Daphnia pulex: one gene and its partners. The main gene of each other region encodes a partner of the protein of the gene in region 2 in a complex. Links are inferred from orthologs where the notes say so. Each region holds a gene or a part of one and is shown on either strand. Other genes may lie near its edges.

The links.
Region 1: the proteins of origin recognition complex subunit 3-like (region 2) and origin recognition complex subunit 4-like are in contact, whole or in part, in a crystal structure (PDB 4XGC), measured with the Drosophila melanogaster proteins. The link is inferred for Daphnia pulex from reciprocal best matches to the Drosophila melanogaster genes Orc3 and Orc4. Residues at the interface, in NP_476904.1 of Drosophila melanogaster: Ala217, His250, Gly251, Leu253, Pro254, Tyr255, His256; in NP_477320.1 of Drosophila melanogaster: Lys395, Glu398, His399, Ile402, Lys419, Lys422.
Region 3: the proteins of origin recognition complex subunit 3-like (region 2) and origin recognition complex subunit 5-like are in contact, whole or in part, in a crystal structure (PDB 4XGC), measured with the Drosophila melanogaster proteins. The link is inferred for Daphnia pulex from reciprocal best matches to the Drosophila melanogaster genes Orc3 and Orc5. Residues at the interface, in NP_476904.1 of Drosophila melanogaster: Ile105, Gln107, Leu140, Lys141, Val144, Cys183, Thr184, Met185, Lys186, Gln187, Glu213, Cys214, Asp222, Leu225, Ile226, His230, Ala243, Thr244, His250, Tyr255, Ser258, Ser259, Arg262, Leu263, Ala270, Pro272, His302, Ile303, Leu305, Tyr306; in NP_477132.1 of Drosophila melanogaster: Ile72, Glu73, Tyr75, Ile79, Glu82, Asp86, Asp94, Arg130, Tyr291, Met292, Arg293, Ile294, Glu295, Leu319, Glu320, Leu321, Pro322, Tyr323, Tyr324, Ala325, Asp383, Leu386, Ala387, Tyr390, Val397, Leu399, Thr400, Cys401, Asn402, Leu403.

The regions. Positions count from the first base shown.
Region 1 is NC_060020.1:1,002,341-1,006,408, reverse strand, and holds origin recognition complex subunit 4-like, read right to left. Parts: upstream 2,624-4,068; 5' UTR 2,567-2,623; coding exon 2,372-2,566; intron 2,312-2,371; coding exon 2,186-2,311; intron 2,112-2,185; coding exon 2,063-2,111; intron 1,993-2,062; coding exon 1,841-1,992; intron 1,760-1,840; coding exon 1,457-1,759; intron 1,353-1,456; coding exon 1,218-1,352; intron 1,095-1,217; coding exon 945-1,094; intron 855-944; coding exon 690-854; 3' UTR 565-689; downstream 1-564. Other genes in the region: uncharacterized protein LOC124192631, read left to right, coding at 1-450.
Region 2 is NC_060027.1:422,689-427,104, forward strand, and holds the start of origin recognition complex subunit 3-like, read right to left. Parts: upstream 2,858-4,416; 5' UTR 2,801-2,857; coding exon 2,774-2,800; intron 2,708-2,773; coding exon 2,513-2,707; intron 2,441-2,512; coding exon 2,317-2,440; intron 2,251-2,316; coding exon 1,905-2,250; intron 1,843-1,904; coding exon 1,500-1,842; intron 1,437-1,499; coding exon 1,290-1,436; intron 1,234-1,289; coding exon 838-1,233; intron 780-837; coding exon 620-779; intron 559-619; coding exon 314-558; intron 283-313; exon of another isoform or gene 250-282; coding exon 106-249; coding exon of another isoform or gene 1-105. Other genes in the region: uncharacterized protein LOC124207230, read left to right, coding at 1-109; cryptochrome-1-like, read right to left, coding at 3,143-3,228, 3,288-3,380, 3,448-3,545, 3,610-3,761, 3,844-3,984, 4,044-4,229, 4,306-4,416.
Region 3 is NC_060025.1:8,384,370-8,388,089, forward strand, and holds origin recognition complex subunit 5-like, read left to right. Parts: upstream 1-1,225; 5' UTR 1,226-1,270; coding exon 1,271-1,360; intron 1,361-1,431; coding exon 1,432-1,867; intron 1,868-1,927; coding exon 1,928-2,490; intron 2,491-2,592; coding exon 2,593-2,708; intron 2,709-2,840; coding exon 2,841-2,889; 3' UTR 2,890-2,903; exon of another isoform or gene 2,904-2,996; 3' UTR 2,997-3,076; downstream 3,077-3,720. Other genes in the region: dnaJ homolog subfamily C member 25 homolog, read right to left, coding at 1-638, 708-819; plastin-1-like, read left to right, coding at 3,575-3,667. UniProt on the Drosophila melanogaster protein: Component of the origin recognition complex (ORC) that binds origins of replication. DNA-binding is ATP-dependent, however specific DNA sequences that define origins of replication have not been identified so far.

The DNA of each region.
Region 1 (4,068 bases), on a different chromosome or scaffold from region 2:
CACTTGGCTGGAGCTGGAGGGCAGCCACGATCGCGACACAGCGCTGACACTGTCAGCAAGGAGAAAATGTTCTCGCCCATCGTCGTGCCCAAGTTCATCAACTGCACCAACACCAACGGCCAGCAGTCGTCGCACTGGGTGCCGCCAGGTCAGCCAGACATGACCGCCGATACCTGTTCATTCGTTCCTTATCGTCGAGCGGCCGTTGTGCCGTCTGGCGGCAGCAGCAACGTCAGCGATGCCCGTTTCGCCGAAGGAGAAGTCTACGAAAACGTCACCAACTTGGATTTCGACGAGAAGAAACCGCGCACCCTCTCGCCCGACGAAGAAGTGGCCATTCTGACCAGCCAGTTTCACGGAACTATCCCCACGGAAATGGAAGTGGAGTCGACTCAGATGGATTCGGAATCGGAAGACAACGATTCCGTTATGAGGGCCGTCAATGTGTAAAATAAAAATCACCATAAGTTACCTAATCTATAATATTATTTCACTATTTACCGTGCTGTGTGTTGTATGGAGCAGTGCCATTGTATATTAATATACTGTAACTGTACTTGCGCGTGTGTGTTTGGCTTTTATTTCTGTTTTCTCTTGTCTCGGCAGATTCACAAATGATACACCTTGAAAAACACAATGGACTTGGGAGAACTTTATTACGCATCATGCCGTGGCATTGGAATGTTTTCTCAGAGGCACGTGTCTGCCAACTGTTTCACTTCGGTGGGAAGATTGGGATACTTGGAGAGAGCAGCTGTTAACTGCTCTGACGTGATGAGAATATGGTAAACAACAAATTCTTTCTGAACCTTCGAGCAAGAAACCCCCTCAACGGGCCGGATCAGCTCCAAAGTCTACAAAAGGAAAATTAAGTAGCATGTTGTTCATTTTCCGCCATCAAATTATTACGTTAAAAAGCTGGGCAAACTTTTTTTGTTATTTACCTCGAGGTGTTCCATTGCCTTCATCGCGATTTGCCGGTCGAATTTCTGCATCGAACTGCTTTTCATTTGCTTGGTATACTCGTAAAAGGCCATTTCGTAATTGCAAGGTTCACCAAAGTAAATTTTATCCAAGTATTTCATGCAGAGTAACTATAAATGAACGAGTTCAAGGAGGAATCAATATAATGTATACAAGTTGGCCAAAATAAAAACGTTTTCATTTTATGATGCTTAGCTAGGCAATATGCGAAATTTCTCTTTTACTATACTCACCAACTGCAGTTCGAGGACAGATAAGCCCTGGAGTTGTAATGTTTTGCAATCCGTAGTTTGAGACTCGATGGCGCTGACAATGTCCTTGGATGAGAGGAAAGGATGATTCTTGCCCAGGCGACATACTGCCACCAGCTTTAAGTGCGTAAAATTCAAGAATAATACGGGTACGTTATTGGCGTTCCTTATTCTGATAACAGTCAAGTGCAGGCTGCTATCTACACGATAATAATAAGTACCAATATGTTTTGCAGAAGACGGAGTTTCGGATTGAGGTTGAATAGTTTCTTGAGTGTGCCTTCGACTAATGGATCTTGTGCAAGATCCTTAATAGACTTGTCCCAGCTGCGAACGTATATGGGTTTTAATCCGGGAGGAGCACGCACCAACTGAAGTAAATTGACAAACGTTTCCGTGTATCTCGTGAAATCAGGTTTCACAAACAAATAAATTTGTCGATGAGAGAACCTAGACCTCACTCTCTTTTCAAACAAAGAAATGGCATCCATTCTACATGTCAATCCAATGACAGCCATTGGCGCCTAAATGCGATAAGATGAGATTATGTTATTGTAAATGTTGAAAAGTGAGGAAAGAGAGAATATGCGAATGAAGCTTTATACTTGAGCAGATTGGCAAACATCAAATAGATTGTATAATAAAGTTTGATTTTTATGCTGACAAAACTGATCAAATTCGTCCATTATAAAAATGATGGATTTTGCTTTTTTCCTGTCAGCCATCTTCAAGGAATTCAGAAGAAAATTTAGATTCTCTAGAAGAAAAAGGGAAATATTCAAATAACCTTTATAAAAGAAGCAAAAATCTAAACTGTTACAATTTACCTGAAAATGAGCCAAATGCTCTGCCAGCTGCTTCCTCCTCTAAAAATAGCTAAAAAGAGATGTCACAATAAATTTAAAAAATTGTCAGGAGGGTCATTACAAACAAAACTGAAAGAAAGTTACTTGGCGAGTGATTTCTTGAATGGCTATCCGATCATCAGTTTGGAAGAAGCCATGCAACTTAATGACAACATAATCTTTCTCAAAGTCACAGACAGCTTCCAGTTCAGCCAGCACACTGTTGATCAACTACAAATTTAACAAATTATTAAGCTGCATCAATCATTTAAAAGGAGTATAGGTGCTTACCAAGGTTTTCCCACTTCCTCTCGGTCCAATTAGGAGAGCTGAATTGTTTTCTCCATTTTGCACCGTGCTTTTAAGTAAATTAAAAACGTAATTCTTGTGTTCTAAAAATTCATCAGGAACTGAAATACTAGAATGATTGTTAAAAACCATTCGTTCTAATAGAATATTACGACAAATATCAGTGCAAGATGCCATTATCGTATCACGTACTGGATTTTGAATCGTGCAGACGATGTTTGACTGAAAAAGGGCGCGCAAACTGACACATAAACATTGTGCTGTCAAAATATGTTTGTTTGTTGTTACAAGGTGGCAGCACAATGTAATCTCTCTAGATTTTCAAATTACTTAACAAATCACAAGAAAACCAAACTCACACAAAAAAACAAACAAGTCAGTTATTCATAGCATTTTCGTGTGACGTGAACTGTATGTATATACGCATATGAAATACTTTGTTAACGCAGTTGGTTTTAAATCTTTTAAACCGTCTTGCCCATCGGTTCCACAGATTATATTCGAAGGCTTGTGTATTGTACGTAAAATCGTATCTGATCGATATCTCATAGTTTAGCTTATTTCTGAAATTGGTGAATCATATGTATAAGTGATTAAGACACCGAATGTATACTTAGGTATCTAATTTGGCCCATATGATAAATGAGTGAACCGCAGCAGGGGGATTAAGGTACAAAATAATTAAGGTCTCCGCTCTCCACGCCCGCGGTGAGTGGTAAATTGACAAAATATTTGGCACAACTTGCACTAAGAAAAAAAAAGTTGAGCCAGCCTGTGGAGTGTTACTTGTTTGACTTAGCTTGTTATCCTGAAGATAAAATTATTTTGAGTTGTTACACAGATTTCCTGGTAGGCAAAAGAACTAGAAAACAAACACTTTGATGATCGAAAACTTCATATTTGGTATGGAATGTGAAAAGGACAATCGAGGTACCGTTCGAACAGTAGGTGATTTCCGATTTGGGTGGAGCCGTTGTCTTTTCTCTGCATAACTAGTTTCAAGGTCCGTGTTATGACCAAATCAAGTTGCATCATTTTTCCATTTAATTTGGATAACCATAAAGTCACAGATGCTCCTGTCACTAAATCCTGGATTGTGTATTCAGCAGTGACTGTATGCCGGTGAAACGTGATCGTATATGGTTCGATCAGTTGATAAATTGGTGACGTAAATGCCGACGGGAAAAACAAAGTAAATTATTTCTTTTTTTTCTGTAGAATGGCTGAGCTGCCACATTCCTTATGGGTGCGTTTCTGTCAGTCTGCTGAAAAATCGCAAATTAATTATTTGCGCGCAAAGTAGAACAAGATTAAAGTCACATTTATTTCTGCCACTTGAAAGATCCCATTTTTGGTTATTGGTGAACCTGAGTCCTGAGATAGAATTTCTTCGTATAAATAGGTTGATACAAAAATATGCTGTTGGTGCAACCGCATTTTTTTTCTTCTTGACATATGTAAGAAAAGAATTCCCAGGTTTTGTAAATGAGATCGCGGATGCAAAAAAATGTTACAACGCAACAAATATTTGCTACCTTGGGGCGATTCAAATTATTGCTCCGCCCTGATCAGGGCGTTGGCCAGTCGTTAAAGTATACTAAAATGAATAACATCAAAGATTTAGCAATTTTTGTGCTAATCGACACAAAATCTCGCACCTTAAAACAAAGTGAAGATAA
Region 2 (4,416 bases):
TGAATTGGAGCAACTCTACCACAAAAGTATTATGGGTAGCACAGCCGTATACACTAAGTACCTTTTCAGGAAAGATTTGAAGCATACCAAGTCAGCACTTAATGCTTAGACTCCCCAGGTCAAGCGTGCAACGTGATCCGTCTTTCGTTTTGACGACTGGATGAATCCGAGTAGCTGCAGCTGCGCAACCGCTCGAATAAAACGTGCTTGAATGATTGGCTCAATTTCTTCATTGTCGTCTTCATCGTCCTGTTTAAAATTTGAATACAATTCGTCTTTGTAATATTTTGGGAAACAAAAAATTATTTCTAACCTTTTTCTGAATAGCGTTGAAGGATAACATCCAGTCGTAAAGATTGATCAAGCGACCGCACTCGGTATGCAATTTGTAAACGATACAAAGATCCGGCATGGAAGAGAGAACTTGCGTTTCTTGTCCGGTTAAAGAACAGCAACTGCAACCAAGGTAAGAAGCCGGATTCGAGAGAGCCTTACTTATGGCTACCCTAGGAACCGGTTGGACCTGACGCCGCATCCATGGAACGATATCCCAATTGCCTAAAATGAAATGCGATCAAGATTTCCGTACAAACAGACAAAACAAATTAAGTAAACGTACTTTGAACTTGACTTCCAGCATAGAAAATTTCATGAAAAACTAAGGTTGAAGGAGATTTCAGACGACTTGCCAACTCCGAATTCAGCCAGGTTATGATCTCGGATTTTACTTCGTCGAATTCTGAGGTAGTCCGAACTTGCTTCGCCGTGGCCATCAATTGCTTTAGAAATACAGTTAGATTTTGTGTGCTTTAAATGAGGAGGACTAAATGCACTTACTGCTTTCAATTCAAACTTGTCCAGTTTTTTGCCTTGAGGTACGAATACATTTTGACTTTTAGGGCTGGAAACGGCGTCGGATTTTTTAGATTCTTCCAAACGTAAAAGTTCTTCTGAAAAGAGGACGAGACTAGTGGAGAAATCCGACAAAGAGCCAGACGAGTCGCACTCTTTCAAAGTAGTCAATGCAGCTTCGATTCTGGTTCGAAGTTCGTGCGCCGACGAAACGTTCAACAATCGGAGAAATTGCTCCCAGTCTTCAGATTCACCACCGATCAACAAATTCACGTATACTTCACGCAAACTTTTGCCAAACAGCGCATCAGGCATGCCGTCACTCAGAGAATGGATAATTCGACAGCTTAGCGAAAAGTTCTTGGAGTAAGTGTTCAGCGCCTAAAATAGAAATTCAGTATCAACACTCACGAAATATCAGTGCATTAACAATTTACCTCTAACGATTTTTGCAGAAACAACCGGAATTCTTTGTCGTCAGTCAGGAGTGAAATTTTGGATCGATTTTTTTCGATAAATTTCATAAACGACGGAAGCTGACGATAAAGATCTAAATCTGTTACGTTTAGTTGCTTAATTCTATTCTAAAATATCCGAAATAATTAAATATAGAATAAGATATTAGTGTGAAAAAAAAATTATTGTACTTTTAGTTCACTGACGGAACAGCACAGGGACGAGACTGGAAGAGTGATGTAGTGCTGCATGATTATAAGGTGAACGCGCATCATGAAACTGTTTAGCGACAAGTCGTGATAAAGAAATCCATCCAGTAGAAGTTGCATCAACCTGGGCCCGAGTTTTAAAACGCTGCTCTTCATAAAAAGCTGTTCTATGAGATGGTTCAGCAGGACAACAGAAGGTCGTGACTGGAATGATTTGGTCGCTAGGCAAACGGAGGTTCGGTGGTGAAGTTGCTGCTGAAGGGCTACTGTCGTTGCAATACCCATGATAAATTGAATGGGTAGCTTATTCCGGACTCGGTTTTCTCTAATAAGAAAAAAACAAAACATAGTTGATATGAAAGGAAAATGTAGTTTGAGAATGGTTACCTGCAGAGTAGTACAAAATCCTGCAATTGCTGAGTACCAAAAGATTCGAGATCTTGGAGGATTATGATCAGTGGTGTTTTCATTACGACATTTGAATACCACGTCGCAAGATTCGCGAATGTCTTAACTTTAGACCTTGGTTTAATGGGTACAATTACATCATCTTCATCATCTTCTTCATCTTTTTCAACCTCATCATCTATTGAGTCACAGCTCGTTAGTTTCTGAATTGTTTTCAGCACCATGTTTTTCAGAGAAGGGCATTCTTTTGAGTTTAACATAGCCACAAACGGAGATACATTGGTCTTCAAAGTAGTATCCAGTAGACTGAAAAAGGCAGCATGATCTGCGAATTGCAATAGCAATGAAAATTATCTTTAATTCCAATAACCAACACACCAACTAGTTTTACCTGGAAGATTAACTCCCAAAGAAATTAAAGCAGTAGGTATGCTGCTCTGTCCAGTACCAGCATTTTCACTAACAAAAGTTTTGACATCATGCAGAAGTTGTTTGTGGCTATCTGAAATGATTTCCTGCAAAGAAGAGATCATCAGCATCACTTCGTTATGTTCAATAGTCAATACCAAACACCCAGCTTATCAGACCTCGCTTTTCTTTTTAGTGGCAGACCATATTTTCTTGTAGGAATCTAGCCTTATTTCCATAGACGACTTATCACTTTTGGCAAATAAAGATGAAGCATTGAGATCATCATTTGTATCTACAATAGCAGACTTTTTAGTCTTCTTTCTTGGACTTCGACCCGATTTTTGTGGATTTGCTTTGAATACAAAACAACCCTAGTGAAAAAGAAATAGAGCTTAACATAAATAACGATTTAATTAATGCTGTGATTAACACAATACCTTTGAGAAAGATGATGTTGTGGCCATTTTCAGATAAAGTTGCACGATGTTGTTGCCGCCATAGTTCGATTTGGCGCTGAAATCCTGCTTAACGCCATCTGGCAGTAATTAAAAAAAACATTTTTAAAAGCGCGCGAAGCGACATCTTGTTTATGAATGAATGAAATAAACAAGTCAAAATTGCAAATGAAATGTCATCCATTCCAATCAATTTGATGGTGTATATTAAATAACATAGACCCACACATTTGATTTTATAACACGCACTGTTGTTTTTTTAGATTTTGCACTCTGAATTTTGAGATTTCAAAAATAGTACATTTTAACGACACATCAGAAAGTTGTCGTTGATGAGAAGTGGAACTACAATTAATTCTTTTTAAAGAATTTTGTAATTTTAGGTGGGGATTCATTAGAAACGCTTTTCTTTCTTTTGACTGGCTCGCCTTCGGGTGCTAGAAAATACATAATTATAATGACTTTTCGTTTTGTTTTTAAACAGTCATGCTCATACCTTCTTCTTTGCCTTGATATGCCTTCTTCATCTTAGCTAAATTCTCCTTCATTACAATATCATGGTCAACTATTCGCTTCGGATAGTCTTTTCCTATTTCGATCATTTTTGAAACACTTAATTTTTTATAACAAGTATTTTATGACTTATCCATAATTACCAATAATACATCCCGCTGTTTTTTGGACACTCAGAGGAGCTTTCCACGGCTCGTAAATGTACTCTGTTGGGAATTTCTTCAAAATCGGCAAATACTTCCTGTAAATTTCAATAGAATGAGTAATTGAGTGTATAATGAATTTTGATTCGGAAAACTGTTTACTTGATGTAATCGCCGTGTTTATCAGTCTTCTTGCCAAAAGCTACGGGGCTATAAACTCGAAAATAGCTGTGAAAAAAAGCTGAAGCAGAGAGCCACATCCAGTTCCCAGCGTTCAATGCCCAGTCAGCATCAAGCAATAGTTCTTCAAAAACCTTAAAAGTGTACACAATTTACTTAAAAAAGGTAATAAGATAAATAACAATAAAGCGTTGCATTTAATGAATAACATAGTACCTGTTGGCCAAGTTCCCAAGAGACCCATAGATCTCCGCGCGTTAGGAAACACGCAACTGCGTGACGGGCCAAGTGATGAATCCAACCTTCAGTTCGTAATTGTATCATGATGGCATCGATAAAAGGATATCCAGTTCTGCCCTGTAAAAAGTATCCAAATGTTACCCGGTTAAATTTTCTGAAATTAGAAAGAAACTTACATTTTTCCAAGCGACAAAGTGCTCGTCTTCTGGGTCAACTTTCCAGGGAATTTGTTTGCACACGGGATTCCCAATCATTCGATCAAAGTTGGGAGTGTATGCCCCGCAAGTGTAGTAAAACTCTCGCCAAAGCATCTGACCCGTCAGCGATGTCGGCGGACTCGTGTGTTTACGACCGTCAATGATCTTTGAATAGACGAATTTATTAGGACCAAACACGGGCATTAAGCAATAAAAAGAAAAGTAGATTTATGCTGTTTACCTCGTGAAGACGATGATACATTAAGCGGGGTGACAAGCAGCCAAATTTGAGGTAAGGGCTCAACACAGTGGTTGATGGTTCAATGCTGTTGGGTGACGTGTCCGGTTTACT
Region 3 (3,720 bases), on a different chromosome or scaffold from region 2:
TTTTCGGATGTCAAACTTGTAGACCCAGATAATGTACCAACGGACGTACTGGTAGATGGTGTAGGGCAGAATGATGAGCTGGAACCACAGTATTTGCTTCCAGTCTGGTTTAGAATAGCCTCCGCGAATATCCATTTTCTCTTCGATGACTTTTCGAATAATTTGCTCCTTTTCCTCCTTCTCTTTGGACTTGTCTTTGACTTTCTTGCTGGTATTTTCATTGAACAAGCCTTCTTTCTTGGCAATTTCAAGTGCATGTATCCTGTATTTTTGCACAGTGGTCAAATACTTTATGGCAGTATCATAGCGTTCCCAGGCAGTGTAGTACTGGATCCCAGAAATGATGGTGACACACACAGCAAGAATCAATCTGATGTCGACATTTGGAGCTGTACGCCGTCTGTAATATCTGTAGTAATGCATGTACATTTCTTCTGGATTGTCAACCATGTAGTCATAATCTTCTCTGGAGGCATTATCACTCAGAATTTCATAGGCAGTGGCTATTCTACGAAAATTCTTCTCAGCTTCTTCTTTAGTCACCTCAGGCCCTTGCACATCAGGATGGTACTTCTTTGCAAGAACTCGATAAGCCTTTCCTATAGCACTCCTAGAGCTCTCTCTCGTCACACCAAGCACTAAAATTAAAAAAAAAGAGAAAGCGTTATTACTGAACGTTTTAAAATTAGGTTAACGAAATAGCTCACCATCGTAACAGTTCTCGACTCCACAGTAGAGTCCTTCAATCAAGGAATGGACATATGAGACGTTCAAAAAAACGCAGAAGGTAACAATAAATAGATATGATTTCATTTTCATTATTTTATAAAACAATTATTCCTAATACGATCGATCCACAGTCAAAGTTACAATTTTTTGCAGTTTATCCAACAAGTAGCATAGCGGCACATGCCATTGAGCAAACTGACCCAACTGAACAAACTGTAAAAGTGACAGGAATAGCAGACTACGACACACATTCCTGTCAGCCAACAAGTTCCACGTAATAATAACGGGACAAAAATTGAGATGAAAGCTTACTTACGTAACATTAAGTTTATTATTATCAAATTTATTAAAAAAATTTTAGCAAGACAAAATTTTGCTAGAAAAGTTTCAGTAATTTCATTAAAAATTAGAAATTGGTTTCATTTTTCTGAATATGAATCTGGCAATGTCTACGTTTCATTTCTCCCGCTACGAATTCGCCACTTCTGTTATCTTGATTTTTAAGTTTCTTTTGGCGAGTGAAAGAGCTACGAGAAAAACAATGGAAATAAATTCCATAAAAGAGAATCTAAAAGCTGAAATACCTCATCGAGAACAACAAATTGAAATCTTGGCGGATATCCTTCAAAGCGTGAGACTTGTTATGATTCTTGGGATGTTTACGTCAAATATTTATGAGAACGTGATTGAATTTATTTGCAGAATGCCCTTCCACCTTTCCTGTATGTATATGGCCACACGTCAACCGGAAAATCGTTAGTAGTCCAACGAGTGATTGAATCTGTGGAACATGTTCAGTATGCAGCAATTCACTGCATTGAATGCCTCAGTCCACGCTTTCTCTATGAATCTGTCCTTGAACAGCTGGGAAGTCAAGAACGATGTGACAATGCCAATGAATTTGCCAGATACCTCAAGCAGCTTGGTGATACCAGACCGATTTGTATTGTACTTGATAAGGCCGAAAGGATGCGAGACTTGAGTGATGGAATGATCATCCCAACACTGACCAAAATCCCAGAGTTTACAGGTCTCAACATTTGCATCATCTTCATTTCAGAAATCCCCTTTGAGAAGTTTCGGTGTGGCACTGGAAGTCTCGATCCCATACAGATATTTTTCCCCCAGTATAGCAAAGGTATTTATTGATTCAATTGTAAACACAACATCTTAATCAACCATTTCTCAAATTTTGTAGAAGAAATTCTGGATCTACTGATGAAGGAATGCCGACAACCTGAACATTCATCTCTTTACCAGACATATCTTTCCATGATATTGGGTGTCTTCCTGGTGGCTTGTCGCGATTTCTGCGAACTTCGCTACATAGCCGCGCAGCATTGGGAAGCCTTTATGGAGCCCATCCATTCGGGCGAAATCGACAAAACTCAATCAGTGAAATTATGGCGACATCTTGAACCGAAACTTCGCTCCAGTCTGAACCAAGTTTACGTCCGAGGTCCTGATGCATGCGGGACCCAAATAGGCCTGAAAATGGAGCTTCCATTCTTCTCCAAGTTCCTTATCATCGCTGCCTATCTGGCGAGTTACAATCCGCCCCGTTACGATCGTCGTTTATTCGTCAAAGCCAAAGAAGGCAGGAAGAAGAAAGACAAAGGTCTCAAGTCATTGAAGAAGCAAAAGTTGCACAACGCCGCCCGTTTGATGGGACCCAAAGTCTTCCCCATCGATCGATTGATGGCCATTTTCTATTCGATCGTTGAGGAACGAGTTACGCCGTCCCTAAATATATTTGTGCAGGTCTGAGCTCTTTTTTTTTTCCTTGTTGTTGTTAATCGCGTTATTTTTTGGCCAATTATTTACGTTCGAGATTGTGACGCCTCTTCGTTGTTCGACACACAGATTTCTACTTTGGTTTCCCTAAAGCTCATCACACACACGGGATCAGCGGCCATGTTTCAAGGAGTTCCGAAATACCGGTGCAATGCCGGTTACGATCTAGTCAGAAGTTTAGCCAGGTAAACATTTAAATTTAAATAGATTACCTCCGAGTTCAACCGTTAATCTAGTCCATGTTTTACGATACCAAAAGATTAAACTACTTGACACGATTACAATAATAAATGCTCACAAATTTCTTTTGATTACAGGACGGTGAATTTCGAGCTGGGACGTTACCTCTACGACACAACTGTTTGATCTTGCTTTAAATTGTAGGCAGTATATTATTTCCCTCACTTGATAACAAAAGAAGAGAATTAGCCTTGTATTATATTTATTAAAATTTTTCTTTTTTTTTCTTCAAGTTTTCTTTATAAACCCGTGTCCCCGCCCCCTACATCCTCGAGTAAGAGATAACAAACAAGTACACACCTCATTTCTTAAACTTTTCTTTTTTTTTGAAACTCTTAACCGAGTGTCGGAATGATGAAGTAATCAAATTACAACCCAGAAAAAGATAAGAAAGGCGACGTTTTTCAATTATATATAAATGTGTTCATGACTAAGACGATTTCTGACCGACGTCTGTTCACAAAAAAAAACCCTTTATCATATTAGACCACATATGGTCATAAGAGTCTCTGTAATTCGGTGAAGCGATATCAAGTTGATTCCCCCCCTAAGCGGATACTATTTACCGTCGTGTGTGTGTAAAAGGCGTTGTTTGATTTCTAATCGCCCCAACAAAAAATATATAGCAGCTGATAAGGCACATGTATAAGAGCTACGTCGAGGGCGGGGTCACAGAGGGGGGAAGGAAATGAAAAGTGGGAAGGGCCAAGCCGCAAACGTTTTTTTGAAAAAAGACCCCGCTTGGGGCTTTTAAATAAACCGGCGAGCACACGACGGCAACAGTGCCTTGCCAGACGTCAAGCCAAGTAAGATGGCGCTACACCAGTGGAATGGAGCTGCTTCTTCGAATATACGTAAATTTTCCGAAGAAGAACGACAAGAACTTCGTGAACAGTTTGCCAGCGTGAGTGTGGATATTATTACCGTTATATTCCATTTTTATTTTCACAATCACCA